Ovis aries: one gene and its partners. The protein of the gene in region 2 binds, or shares a complex with, the protein of the main gene of each other region. Links are inferred from orthologs where the notes say so. Each region holds a gene or a part of one and is shown on either strand. Other genes may lie near its edges. The genes, in order: WWC1, DDN and MAGI2.

Evidence for each region.
Region 1: the proteins of DDN (region 2) and WWC1 are in contact, whole or in part, in a crystal structure (PDB 6J69), measured with the Mus musculus proteins. The link is inferred for Ovis aries from reciprocal best matches to the Homo sapiens genes DDN and WWC1. Residues at the interface, in NP_001013763.1 of Mus musculus: Tyr227, Val228, Ala229, Pro230, Pro231, Ser232, Tyr233, His237, Arg238, Thr239; in NP_740749.1 of Mus musculus: Glu13, Glu14, Ala15, Arg16, Asp17, Tyr23, Ile25, Asp26, His27, Arg30, Thr31, Thr32, Ser33, Trp34.
Region 3: the proteins of DDN (region 2) and MAGI2 are in contact, whole or in part, in a crystal structure (PDB 6KKG), measured with the Mus musculus proteins. The link is inferred for Ovis aries from reciprocal best matches to the Homo sapiens genes DDN and MAGI2. Residues at the interface, in NP_001013763.1 of Mus musculus: Asp222, Arg223, Pro224, Pro225, Pro226, Tyr227, Val228, Ala229, Pro230, Pro231, Ser232, Tyr233, His237, Arg238, Thr239, Leu240, Gly241; in NP_001164217.1 of Mus musculus: Glu308, Met309, Ala310, Tyr311, Thr312, Glu313, Gly315, Tyr318, Ile320, Asp321, His322, Lys325, Thr326, Thr327, Ser328, Trp329, Asp358, Tyr361, Tyr364, Val366, Asp367, His368, Arg371, Arg372, Thr373, Gln374, Phe375.

The regions. Positions count from the first base shown.
Region 1 is NC_056058.1:77,912,251-77,916,522, forward strand, and holds the start of WWC1 (protein KIBRA), read left to right. Parts: upstream 1-1,407; 5' UTR 1,408-1,929; coding exon 1,930-2,048; intron 2,049-4,272. UniProt on the Homo sapiens protein: Regulator of the Hippo signaling pathway, also known as the Salvador-Warts-Hippo (SWH) pathway.
Region 2 is NC_056056.1:137,226,870-137,229,166, forward strand, and holds part of DDN (dendrin), read left to right. Parts: coding exon 1-71; intron 72-470; coding exon 471-2,297. UniProt on the Homo sapiens protein: Promotes apoptosis of kidney glomerular podocytes. Podocytes are highly specialized cells essential to the ultrafiltration of blood, resulting in the extraction of urine and the retention of protein.
Region 3 is NC_056057.1:43,278,054-43,282,188, reverse strand, and holds the start of MAGI2 (membrane-associated guanylate kinase, WW and PDZ domain-containing protein 2), read right to left. Parts: upstream 2,885-4,135; 5' UTR 2,413-2,884; coding exon 2,112-2,412; intron 1-2,111. UniProt on the Homo sapiens protein: Seems to act as a scaffold molecule at synaptic junctions by assembling neurotransmitter receptors and cell adhesion proteins. Plays a role in nerve growth factor (NGF)-induced recruitment of RAPGEF2 to late endosomes and neurite outgrowth.

The DNA of each region.
Region 1 (4,272 bases), on a different chromosome or scaffold from region 2:
TTCCATGGACGGAGGAGCCTGGTAGGCTGTAGTCCATGGGGCTGCAAAGAGTCGGACACGACTCAATGACCTCATGCATGCACAAACACATTGCCCTCATCACTAATGGGAGTATTTTGCACCCAGCGAAGTTGAGGAGTGAGTTGTAGAGGGCTGTGGGAATCTCCCCATAAGAAGCAGTAGGGTGAACTCCTACTTCTAGGTATTCTGAGGCCAGCCTGAGGTCTGTGTTTCTGGACTTTTGTGCATGGCATCTATGGAATGAGGGAGGGAGGGAAAGGTCAAATACTGAGTCAATGGGCCTGGCTTTAGGGAAGTAACTGGCTTAACAGAAGGCATCTGGAGGTGAGGAGATGCCACCATAAGTCTTCTGTACCAAGAGCAGAGGAGACCAGAAACATGGGATTCTCCCCTATGCTCAGCACACTCTGGCCCATACAGCACAGGACACTGGCTCCTCTGGGAGGCTGTGGGACTCAGACAAAGGATACAGCAGGCTGGGCTTCATCCCTGCAGTCCAGCTCCCTGCTATACATCCAGGGCAAAAAAAAAAAAAAAAGTTAAAGACATTCAGGAGACACAGACAGCTGATTAACTGTAATTAAATAATCACAAATTTTTGATTTCTCAAGAAATATTGATTTTTAAAAGTTCTCATTTTTTAAACATGGAATTTTGCTTTGTTTGCTTCCTTCTTTTTCATAACCCCTATCCCCCCAAAGCCATGACAGATCAATTAATATCTCGAAGAGGACAGGTGAAGCTGCCTGGAACAGGTTACATATTCAATTTAATGAACAACAACATCATAACTATTACAAAGGGCCACCTCGACACCCACTGGAGGTCCTTGGGGGCTGAGGGCAGGAGATGGATGCCTAGCACTCTTCACTTTAGGGACCCGGGGAAGAGCCAGTTACACTTGCAAGTACGAGGGGTGGGGGGATGGGTGAAACAACGCGCGGAAAGAATAGAATAAGAGGGAGACAGATGGTGTGTGTGTTGGGGGAAGGGATCAGAGATCCTGGAAAACTTATGTTCCCCTATTTGCAAGAATGTTTCCATTTAACCACTTCTTGCCTGACTCCTGATTCTACAAGAGAGAAGCCGGGAGTTATAAGATTGGGGACACCTGTGCCAAGAACTCGGCCGCTCTGGGTGGAGACAGCCTGGAGCGCCGGGAAGCCGAGGCAGAGCGGGGCTTGCTCGCGCCTCCCGGGGCTCCAGCCTGGGTCCGGGACCCAGGTGAAGGGCGGGCTCCCATTCCTCCCGGCAGGAGCCGCGAAGGGGCGGCCGGCAGTTGGGACTGTCCCACGAGGGGGCGCGTCTCGGGCCCTAGGACCCGCCCTCGCGGCGCTGGGCGCGGGGAGGGGACGCGGGAACCCTGGCGCCCGGCGCTCCGCCTCCAGTTTCCGGGGCAGCGCGGTTACCTGCACAGCCCGAGCCGCACCTGGCGCAGGCAGGAGTCGCAAACCAAGCGAGCGCTGAACGGCGGAGGGAGAGCGGGGACAGCACCCGGCTCGGGGGAGCGAGAGGCGGCGGCGGCGGCGGTGTGGAGGCTGCAGGGCGCCGCGCGCCGCGGAGGAGGACAGGCGGCAGCTGCGCTCGGCTCGCTCTGCCCCGCCGGCCGGGCGCGCACCCGGGCCCGCACCGCGCCGCTGCGGGCGCACATGGCAGCGTGAGAGGCCGGCGGCCGGAGGAGCGGGAGGCGCCGGGCCGGGGCCGCAGGGCCGCATGGACAGCGCCGCCACCCCGGCCGGCCCTCACTAGGGGCCCCCAGCCCGCGGGCGCCACCTTCCCTCCCCACCACCGCGACCATGGTGCCTCGGCGGCCGCCCGAGCCGAGAGAAACCGGCCGGAGCCGCTGAGCCGGGGGGCCCCCGTGGCGGCCGGGAGCTGCATGGGGGAGCGCGGGCCGCGCTCGAGACGATGCCCCGGCCGGAGCTGCCCCTGCCGGAGGGCTGGGAGGAGGCGCGCGACTTCGACGGCAAGGTCTACTACATAGACCACACGAGCCGCACCACCAGCTGGATCGACCCGCGGGACAGGTAGGATTCCGCGTGCACCCTCATCCCGCTCCTGCCCCGGGGGCCACAAGCCGGGACGGGGCGGCGACCCTGGGAGCTCTGCGGGCCTCTTGCGCTGTCTTCCGTGTGCCCCCCACCCCCGTGCCCTTCCGGACCGCCGGCTCCCGCCGGGCGGGCAGCTGGGAGGAGGGGTCGGCCGGTGAGTTGGCCCAGGCTACCCCCTCACCCCGCGCTGTCCTCTGAGGGGGACTCAGCCCCCCGTCGGCACCTGCCGGGAGTTTTGACCTTAAGCTCTAGCCCCGCCTCCCGCCGCTCCCCTCCCCCTTAGTTAGGTCCTGCGGGGGCTGGGGGAGCGATCTAGCCGAGTGATGCTGGGGCTTCCCGGGGAGGCTTTCCCCAGCGGGGGGGGGGGGGAGGGGGGATGGGAAAGCATCTGGTTTGGAGGGGATGGTAGGCACCCAGGACTCAGCGGGAGGCTGCTGGAGGAAGGACACTGTGTCCCGGGGAAGGCAGCCCAGGGTGTGAATTTTGACAGGTGCCTCCCAGGCTCGGAGAGACGGGCGCAGCAGCGTTCTGGAGGCCGGGAGGCCGACAGTGGGAAGGAGAGGAAGGAGCGGGGGAGGGCTGATCGGGGAGACTGGTTCCCCAGGAATCTCACGGCAACTTGGAAGCTGTTAGGATGTAGATGGAGGTGAGAGGCCGCCGCAAAGCCCTGCCCATCGCCTCTTCTCCTCCCCGCCATCCTCTCCTCTGGGGACGGGGGTTCCTCAGTGCTGCACCAGCGCGTCCTGACCTTGGTGGGCACCACGCCGGTTGGAGCACCGGATTTTTTTTTTTTTTTTTTTTTTTTTTGCTGAGGCAGGTGGCGTGTGAGATGGCTGGTGTGGCTCTTAAGCATCCAGACTTTCTCCTGGTTTTGGCTGCTTGGCAATTTTTTTGCACACAGCACCCTCTCTCCATGAATATCCTGGGGGGTGGGGAGGGGGAAGGACCACCCTCTGGGACCGCTGGTTGTCCTTTGCTGTCATCTCTGTGGTCAGTGTCCCAGGAATGCGGAGTTTTCACCTGGTAATTGTGACCTTGGGTGTCAGGTGCTTGTAAAGCAATGAAGCTAAATTGTTTGGCTGGGGTGGGAATGGAGGTTCCAGAAGTCTAGGATGGGGTGTGTAATCAAGATGAGAGTTGAGAAAAAGAAAAAGCAAGAAAGAAAATGTGAGCTGAGATTGCTCATAGTTTCTGTGAGCACTTTGATTCATTCATTCAACATGGACTGGGTGTCCTCTCTGAGTTCAGTACTATGCTGAACGTCTCATCAATTTAATCCGAAAGAGACATTTTTAATGCTGAAGAGCTCAGGTCCCACGGGCAAGCTGCTTTAACTTCTGAGCCTCAGTTTGCCTGTTTGTCAGACAAATGATTTGCTTGGAAGGGCAAGGGTGATAGTGGAACTCTTGAAAGTGGAAGGGATATGGAAGGTCAGGGCCCAGCTCCCATTTTCAAACATGAGACAAACTTTGAGATCCGGAGGTAGGATGTGCTTGGGGATTTTGATCTTCTCACCACTCTACCTTTTGCCAAATTCTCTGCCTGCTCTGAAGTTCTAGCCTCCACAGTCCCTTGTCCTCGCCTAAAACAGACACAAGTTCAAGTTTGTGTGTCCTCCCCCATTTTAGGTCCCAGCAGCTACGGGGCCCAGTGTGCTGTCAGCAGTTGAGTGTAGAGGGCATTGCTAACTCACCCCAGATCCTGAATCTGGGAACTTCTCTGGGGCACTGAGAGGATAACACAGCTGCAGAAATCTGCTTAAGGAGCGGTCATTCATTACCCTTGGAAGAGGGCAAGCAGTATAGCTTCCATGGAAAACTGACTTGGCTACGGCATAATTTCCCGAATTTCAGTATTATGTAGACCACCTTTTTTGCTGTATCACCTGTGTTATTGCTGACTTAATACTTGACACTGAATCAACCCAATCTGAATTTTTTTTAGCCACTTTTGCAAATGGGAAACTAGCAATATCTATTGCTCCAAAGAGAAAGGAACCTTTAAAAAGTACAGTGGAAGGGGGGAAAAGGTGCCTTTCTGTTTGAACTCACTCCTGTGGCCAGTCCACGGCTCCAGCAACAGGCCTCCGCAGCCTGTGTTTTTAGGCAGATTGGCAAGCAATGGAGAGGAATTAAAAAGATAACTGGCGCTTAAGGAACTGCTCACTTTCTCCGCCTTGCTGTTCACTGGTTTTACCCTG
Region 2 (2,297 bases):
CGCCGCGCCCCTCCTCGACAGCTCATGGACTTCCAGGCCAGCCACTGGGTCTGCGGGCCCCAGAGCCGCACGTGAGTGAAGGAGGGGTAAGGGGAAGAGAGAGGTGGGGCAGGGATTGGGGTCCGGACCTTCCCGTGGGCACCAGCCAGAGCTGCCTTCTCTTTTCCACGCCTCCCCCAACCCCATCCGGAAGGTTGGGGTCTGACTCATCCCATTTGTTTGGGGGCACAGGAGTGGGCGTGAGAAAGGGCAGGTGAGATGGGGCAGATACTGTTAAAGTGTGCATGGAGAGATGGTGAGGAGTCCCGCTTCGACTTCAACCCTAACATATACGCACGTGCACACGCGCACACACTCACACACACCCCTCCACCCGGTGGCCCCAAGTGGCCTCCAGCGCTCCCAGCTCCCCGGACCTCGGCTCCCTTCCCCCACAAACTGCTCACCTGGGTTCCTGCTCATTGTCCCAGGTGTGGGCCGCGCCCGGGATCCCCTGAGCCGCCGCCCCGCCGGCCCTGGGCCTCCAGGGTGCTGCAGGAGGCGACCAACTGGCGGGCGGGGCCCCCGGCCGAGGCCCGAGCCCGGGAGCAAGAGAAAAGGAAAGCGGCGTCGCAGGAGCGGGAGGCCAAGGAGACCGAGCGAAAAAGGCGCAAGGCTGGTGGGGCCCGAAGGAGTCCCCCTGGTCGGCCCCGCCCGGAGCCTCGGAACGCCCTTCGGGTGGCCCACTCTGCAGGGCTCCCAGCTCCCTCAAGGCCCGAGCGCCTGGGGTCGGTGGGGCGACCGCCCCGTCCATCCGCGCAGCCGCAGAGCAATCCTGGGGCGGCGTGGGCGGGGCCCTGGGCTGGTCGGCGGCCAGGGCCCCCCAGCTACGAGGCTCACCTGCTGCTGAGAGGCGCTGCCGGGATGGCCCCGCGACGCCGCTGGGACCGGCCGCCACCCTACGTGGCTCCACCTTCTTACGAGGGCCCCCACAGGACCCTGGGGACTAAGCGAGGCCCCGAGCCCTCGCAGGCGCGCGCCTGTTCAACCTCTGCGCCGACTAGGACAGAGGGAGGGTGCGCAAAGAAGAGGCTAGATCCTCGGATCTACCGGGACGTCCTAGGGGCCTGGGGTCTCCGTCAGGGACGGGGTCTCTTGGGGGGATCCCCAGGCTGTGGAACAGACAGGCCAAGGCTGGAGTCCGGTAAGGGGGCCGCGGAGAAAAGCCCGAGGCTGGCTGCTGCTGTCCTGAAGAGTGGTAGCGACGGCCATCCCCAAGATAAAGCCGCTGGGAGCCCAGGCACCGTTCCTGCGGGGTCTGCCACTGCCACCCCCAGCCCCCCGCGTCCCACTCCCAGGTCCAGACCCCATCTCAAGGGCTCCGGGGAAGGGAGGGAAGGGAGAGACCAGACCTGGCTCCCCAAACGCTGGGTTCCCTCCATTAAAAAGCAGCCGCCCCGGCATAGCCAGACCCTTCCCAGACCCTGGGCTCCAGGAGGCACGGGATGGAGAGAGCCCCTGGGTCACAGAGGGGAGGCAGGACCCGAGACCTTGGAGGGTTGGAAGGTGACCCGACGCCCCCACACCCTGCCCCGAAGTTCCCGTGGCCCCACTCGTCGGGAAGGCGTCTTTGTCATTGATGCCACTTGCGTGGTGATACGCTCCCAGTACGTCCCGACCCCTCGAACCCAGCATGTGCAGCTTTTGCCCGCCGGGGTGCCGCGCCTGGTGGGGAATGCCCCCAGCCAACCGAAACCCAATAAAGAGGAGGGAGAGGGGGCCGCGGTCCTTCCTTCCCCTTGCCGAAAGCTGCCATTGAGCAGTCGCCCTTCTCTCCAACCCAGTGAGGGACGCGGGCTCGAAGCTGAGGGCGGGAAGCCCGCGGACTCCTCACTGGAGGAGCGCGCCTCGCGCATCTTGGGGCTCCCGGTTGGCGAAGTAAACCTACGGGATCCCCCCACGCAGCCAGGTAGCCCAGAGCACTCAGCCTTAGGCCCACCGGCTTCGGGGGGAGCGCGCGGTGCCGAGGGATCGGAGAAAGTGGCGTCCGGCCCGCGGCGCACAGGCCGGGGCTGGGCGCGAGCCCCTGGACCCTATGCCGGGGCCCTGCGGGAAGCCGTGTCTCGCATCCGCCGCCACACCGCCCCGGACTCCGACTCAGACGAAGCTGCGGAGCTCAGCGTCCATAGCAGCTCTTCTGATGCGAGCGACACAGAAGCCTCGGGCGCCTCCTGGCGGAAAGAGCGGACCGGGCCCCCGGAAGGCGGGAAGACAGCCGAGCTGACCGGCAATGCCCGAGAGATTGTAGGTGCCATCAG
Region 3 (4,135 bases), on a different chromosome or scaffold from region 2:
ATAAACACTCACAATTATGGGAGCTAATGAGTTCACAGTATAGTTAACAGATTTTTTTAAAGCTCTGTTAAAATCATCTTAATAAAAGTAAAATGCTTCATCCTTTAAAAATTTCCACAGATTTGTCTTATTTTTGCCCTATACATAATCATAGGATAGTATTTAATGATAGCTTTCATGCCTTCACTTTTCCAAGTTAAAGTCTTTCCACTGGATTTTATAGAATAGATTGACAATACCCCCAAAATCTCCCTTTCTTTCTTTTCTAGCTGCTAGAGCAACAGCCTGTGAAGGTTCATCTCAAAATAGTGTGCTCAGAATGAGTACATTAAAATGTGGTCATAATTACAAACTACAGTGGGATAAACACTTCCCTCATTAGGCTACAATCATTAGTCCAATTTATTAATAACAATATCTTAAAGTTGGCAGCCATTTTCCACTACAAATACCAACCTTGTTGTCAATAAAACCATGGTCATTAATTGTGACATAGACTTCTGGATTCAAAACCAGAACTTCACATTTATATCTATTACTATAAAATAGTATCATGACATCAAATACGCTAACATTAATGCCTATATTCGAGCCTCTGGTATGTCATCTTGGAAAACAGTAAGATATTCTATTTGCCTTCCTACCAAACACATTCTTCAGGTTCATACCGTATTTAACTCTGTGGCCTGACAAAGAAGTCAATGTTCACATTAGCCTATCTCAAGTCATCAGTCACTAACACTCAAGAATCCCCAATTAAAACTTTTTTGTATGGCAGTTTACATTTAAGAAATTTTGCCTGAGGTTTCATTTTTCACTGACTTACTTTTAAAACTGGTTTATAGACAAGAATATCTCCCTAAGAGATATTGTCATGCAGGCAATGACATGCTCAATTCCATCTTTGAATCCGAACAATGTGTCACCAACAACAAATCTTTCGATTTGTGACGCATATACATACATGTCACACAGAATTATGAATATGAGCTACAAAACTTATGATGTGGAAAATGAAGATACACTATTTTATTCCAGCTAAAGTTGTCCTCTTTCCAAGAAACTTTTATCTCTCTTCTCTACTTCAGGACCAGCATTTTCCTATAGGCAAAGACAGTTGCGAGAACTCTGCAGGATCCCATCACAGCCTTCAGCGGAGGCTCATCTAAACCAGGTTGGAGCTGACCGGATCCTCAGTCGAAACCAGAAGGCTTTTTCATCCAGTTCCTCCTTAGAAACACGCCTCCCGCCCCTGCCCCTGCCCAAATCCGAAGCCAGAGGGGAGTCCGACCATAGAGAACTTCCACTCATGAAGACAACCCCATAGTAAAGAACATTCCGGTAACCACGTCTCTCCTCCGACCTCCAACTCTAGAACCCGCAGCTAGCGCCGCGCCTTCCTCGCGAGCCGCCTCCCGCGGGCCGGCTCGGGGTGAGCTCCCGAGTTAGTCAGTGCGCACGTGACGCGCGGTGCCCACATGACACGACCGTGGGCGGGGGAGGGGGACAGAGGAGCGAGGCAGGGAAAAAGTTAAGGCAGACCCGTCAACGCGCCCGAAGCAACCTGCCCCTTCCCTTCTTTGTCAATTAGTGGCTCAGGGATCCCCAAGGTGTCTTCAGTACAGCTACCGAAACGGAGGGCGCCGGTCTCCGTTTGCCCCGTCACCCCCTACTCCTACCGGCCCTGCTGGTGATGCCGCTGCACCCTCGAGTTGTTCCTTCCTCTCTCTCCTGCCCTCCTTTTTCGTTTCTGCCTTCTTTCCTTCCCTAAAAGCTCTTCATCCATTGCGGGCCATGCGGCTGACGCACATTCAATTGCCCTGGGAGCTCGCCGGCACCGCCGAGGTCAGACAAGGCCGAACACCTACCAAACGGGAGGTGGTAACTGCGCAAACAAAGTTGCACGCTGCACCGCAACCGCCCCTCCCTCCCACTGAGCCCCCCATTCTGAGCCCCGGCAAAGCTCACTTGCTCTGCCGGTTCTCGATCGACCTCACCCCACTGTCGCGCAACACACCCCCTTCCACACGCGAGCCCACCCTTCCATGATGCCCCGGCGTCTGGAGCGGTCCAGCCTCCTGGTAAAGCACCGAGCCAGCCGCTGCGCTTACCTTGCTTGACACACTTGAGCCGGAGGGGGTCCTTGCAGTGTTTGATCACGGCCAGCACGTCCCTGATGGTGAGCCCCGCCACGGGGGTCTCGTTCACTTCCAACAGCAGTTCCTCAGACACCAACTTGCTTCCGCTCTCATAGGCCACCTTGCCCGGCTTCACCTCTCCCAGGTAGGGGAACTGTCCATTCTCGGCGCCCCCCTTCAGTTCAAAACCCAGCTGACCCTCCGGGTTCCTGCCAATGACACTCTCATGGACTTTGCTCGTCCAGTGGCTTTTCTTTTTCAAGCTTTTGGACATGGCAGTGGGGTGAGTCGCCTCAGCTCCTGAGGGATTCCTTTGGGGTAGGGGAGTTGGTGCTGAGAGAATGAGGCTGGAGGAGCCAGGGGGCCAAGAGGTGAGGAGAGCAGACTTTGCCTTCCTCCCCTCTCTGTTCGGTGCTTTCCCTCTTCTTTGGATGGAGTGTGGTCGAGGAAGGGGGAGGATGACAGGGACGGCTGGGCAGAGGTAGGAGAGCTTGGGTGAGGTTGTGCTGTCCCTTGAATGACACTCAAGGCTGTGGCCCCGCAGCAGAGGAGAGCTGTGGTGGTGGCGGCGGCGGCGGCGGCAGCGGCAGCCTGAGCGAGCAGTAGCCGAGCTGGTGAGCGGGTGGAGTGGGGGTGGGGAAGGAGAGTAGGGATGCCGGGGGCCACTCCTGCGTGGTGCGAGTGGGAGCGCGCGCGCGCCTGAGTGTGTGTTGTTAGCTGATATCCATGGTAGCTGCAGTGGCAGTGGCAGGGTCCGCGCGCGCTCGCGCCCTCGCGCGCGCGGCCGACTTGTACTGTACTGGCAGCAGGGGAGGAGGCTTAGCGCCGCTGAGGAGGGAGCGGACTAGAGCGGGGAGGAGGGGCGCGCGCGCGCCGGGTGGGGAGCCGCTTACTGCTGTCTCCGCTCACCCCCCCACCCCCCTCCGCAGCTTGACCCGGTAGTGAAGGCTGAGAGAGAGGCAGGCTGGGTCCGCCTGGCAGCCTACGAGAGGAGGCGGGAGCGGGAAAGGAGGGGAGCCGAGGCCCGGCGTGGGGAGGCCGGCAGGAAGGGCTGCGAGCCCAGCGCGGACCTTTCTTCAGCCTCCCGGCGGCCGAACGCAGCGCTAGGCTGCTGCGCTGTGAGGATGCCCTGACTCAGTGCCGGACGCTGTGGCTGGTGGCGCCGCGAGCCTCCGGGCGTCCGATCCCGGCATGAGAAAGGGCAGAGCTGTGGGACCCGCCCGGCGTGCCCTCGCCCAGGAGGAGGCCTGGGCGCTGCGGGCCAGGTGGAGGCGTCGGAGTTCACTAATTAGACAGGCTTCGTCTCCCACGTTTCAGTCAGACCCGTCTCAAAGTTCTCAGAATTCCTCTCAGAGGAGAGTAAAGTTAGAACTGCAGGCTGGTTTTCCTGTCAGCGCCCGTACCTCGGGTGCAGAAGGGAACTTAGCGGAGGGTTGTCTGGTGAAAGGCATTCCAGGCACCGCGGGGCAGGGGCTTCACTTTTCCAAGTTGGAAGAAGCGGGAAGCAGTGGGGTGGGGGCAGCCGCGGTGAGCAGCCTCCTCAGAGAACTGGGCAGTTTCACGCGGGATCTGCGGCGAGACCGCGGGGCACGCCCTCGTCGCGCGCGCCCTCACAGCCGGGCTGGGAAGAGGGGAAACCCTAAGCTGCCCTGAGGAGACCACCTCCTGCTACACTAAAGGAGAAGGTTCGGAGGGCGACCAGAGCGACAGAACCGGGGCTGAAACTCAGCTCGCTGGTCCGCCACCAGGCTTCTTTACCTTCAGCAAGTTTGCAGCCGGGAGGTGAGGTGACGTCCGGGGCGCCAGGATGCAGGAGGGCCGCTGATTTTTACTCAAAGGCTAATTTTGTGTGAGATGTTAGGAGTGATTTTTAAAATTCCTGTAACTGATAAATGAGTTCCATTTGCTTTACTTTCAAATGATACTTAAAAAAAAAAAAGTTGCACACCCACTCGTCTCTTTAAAGCAAAGCATGAAAAGCATTGAGCGGGTAGGAT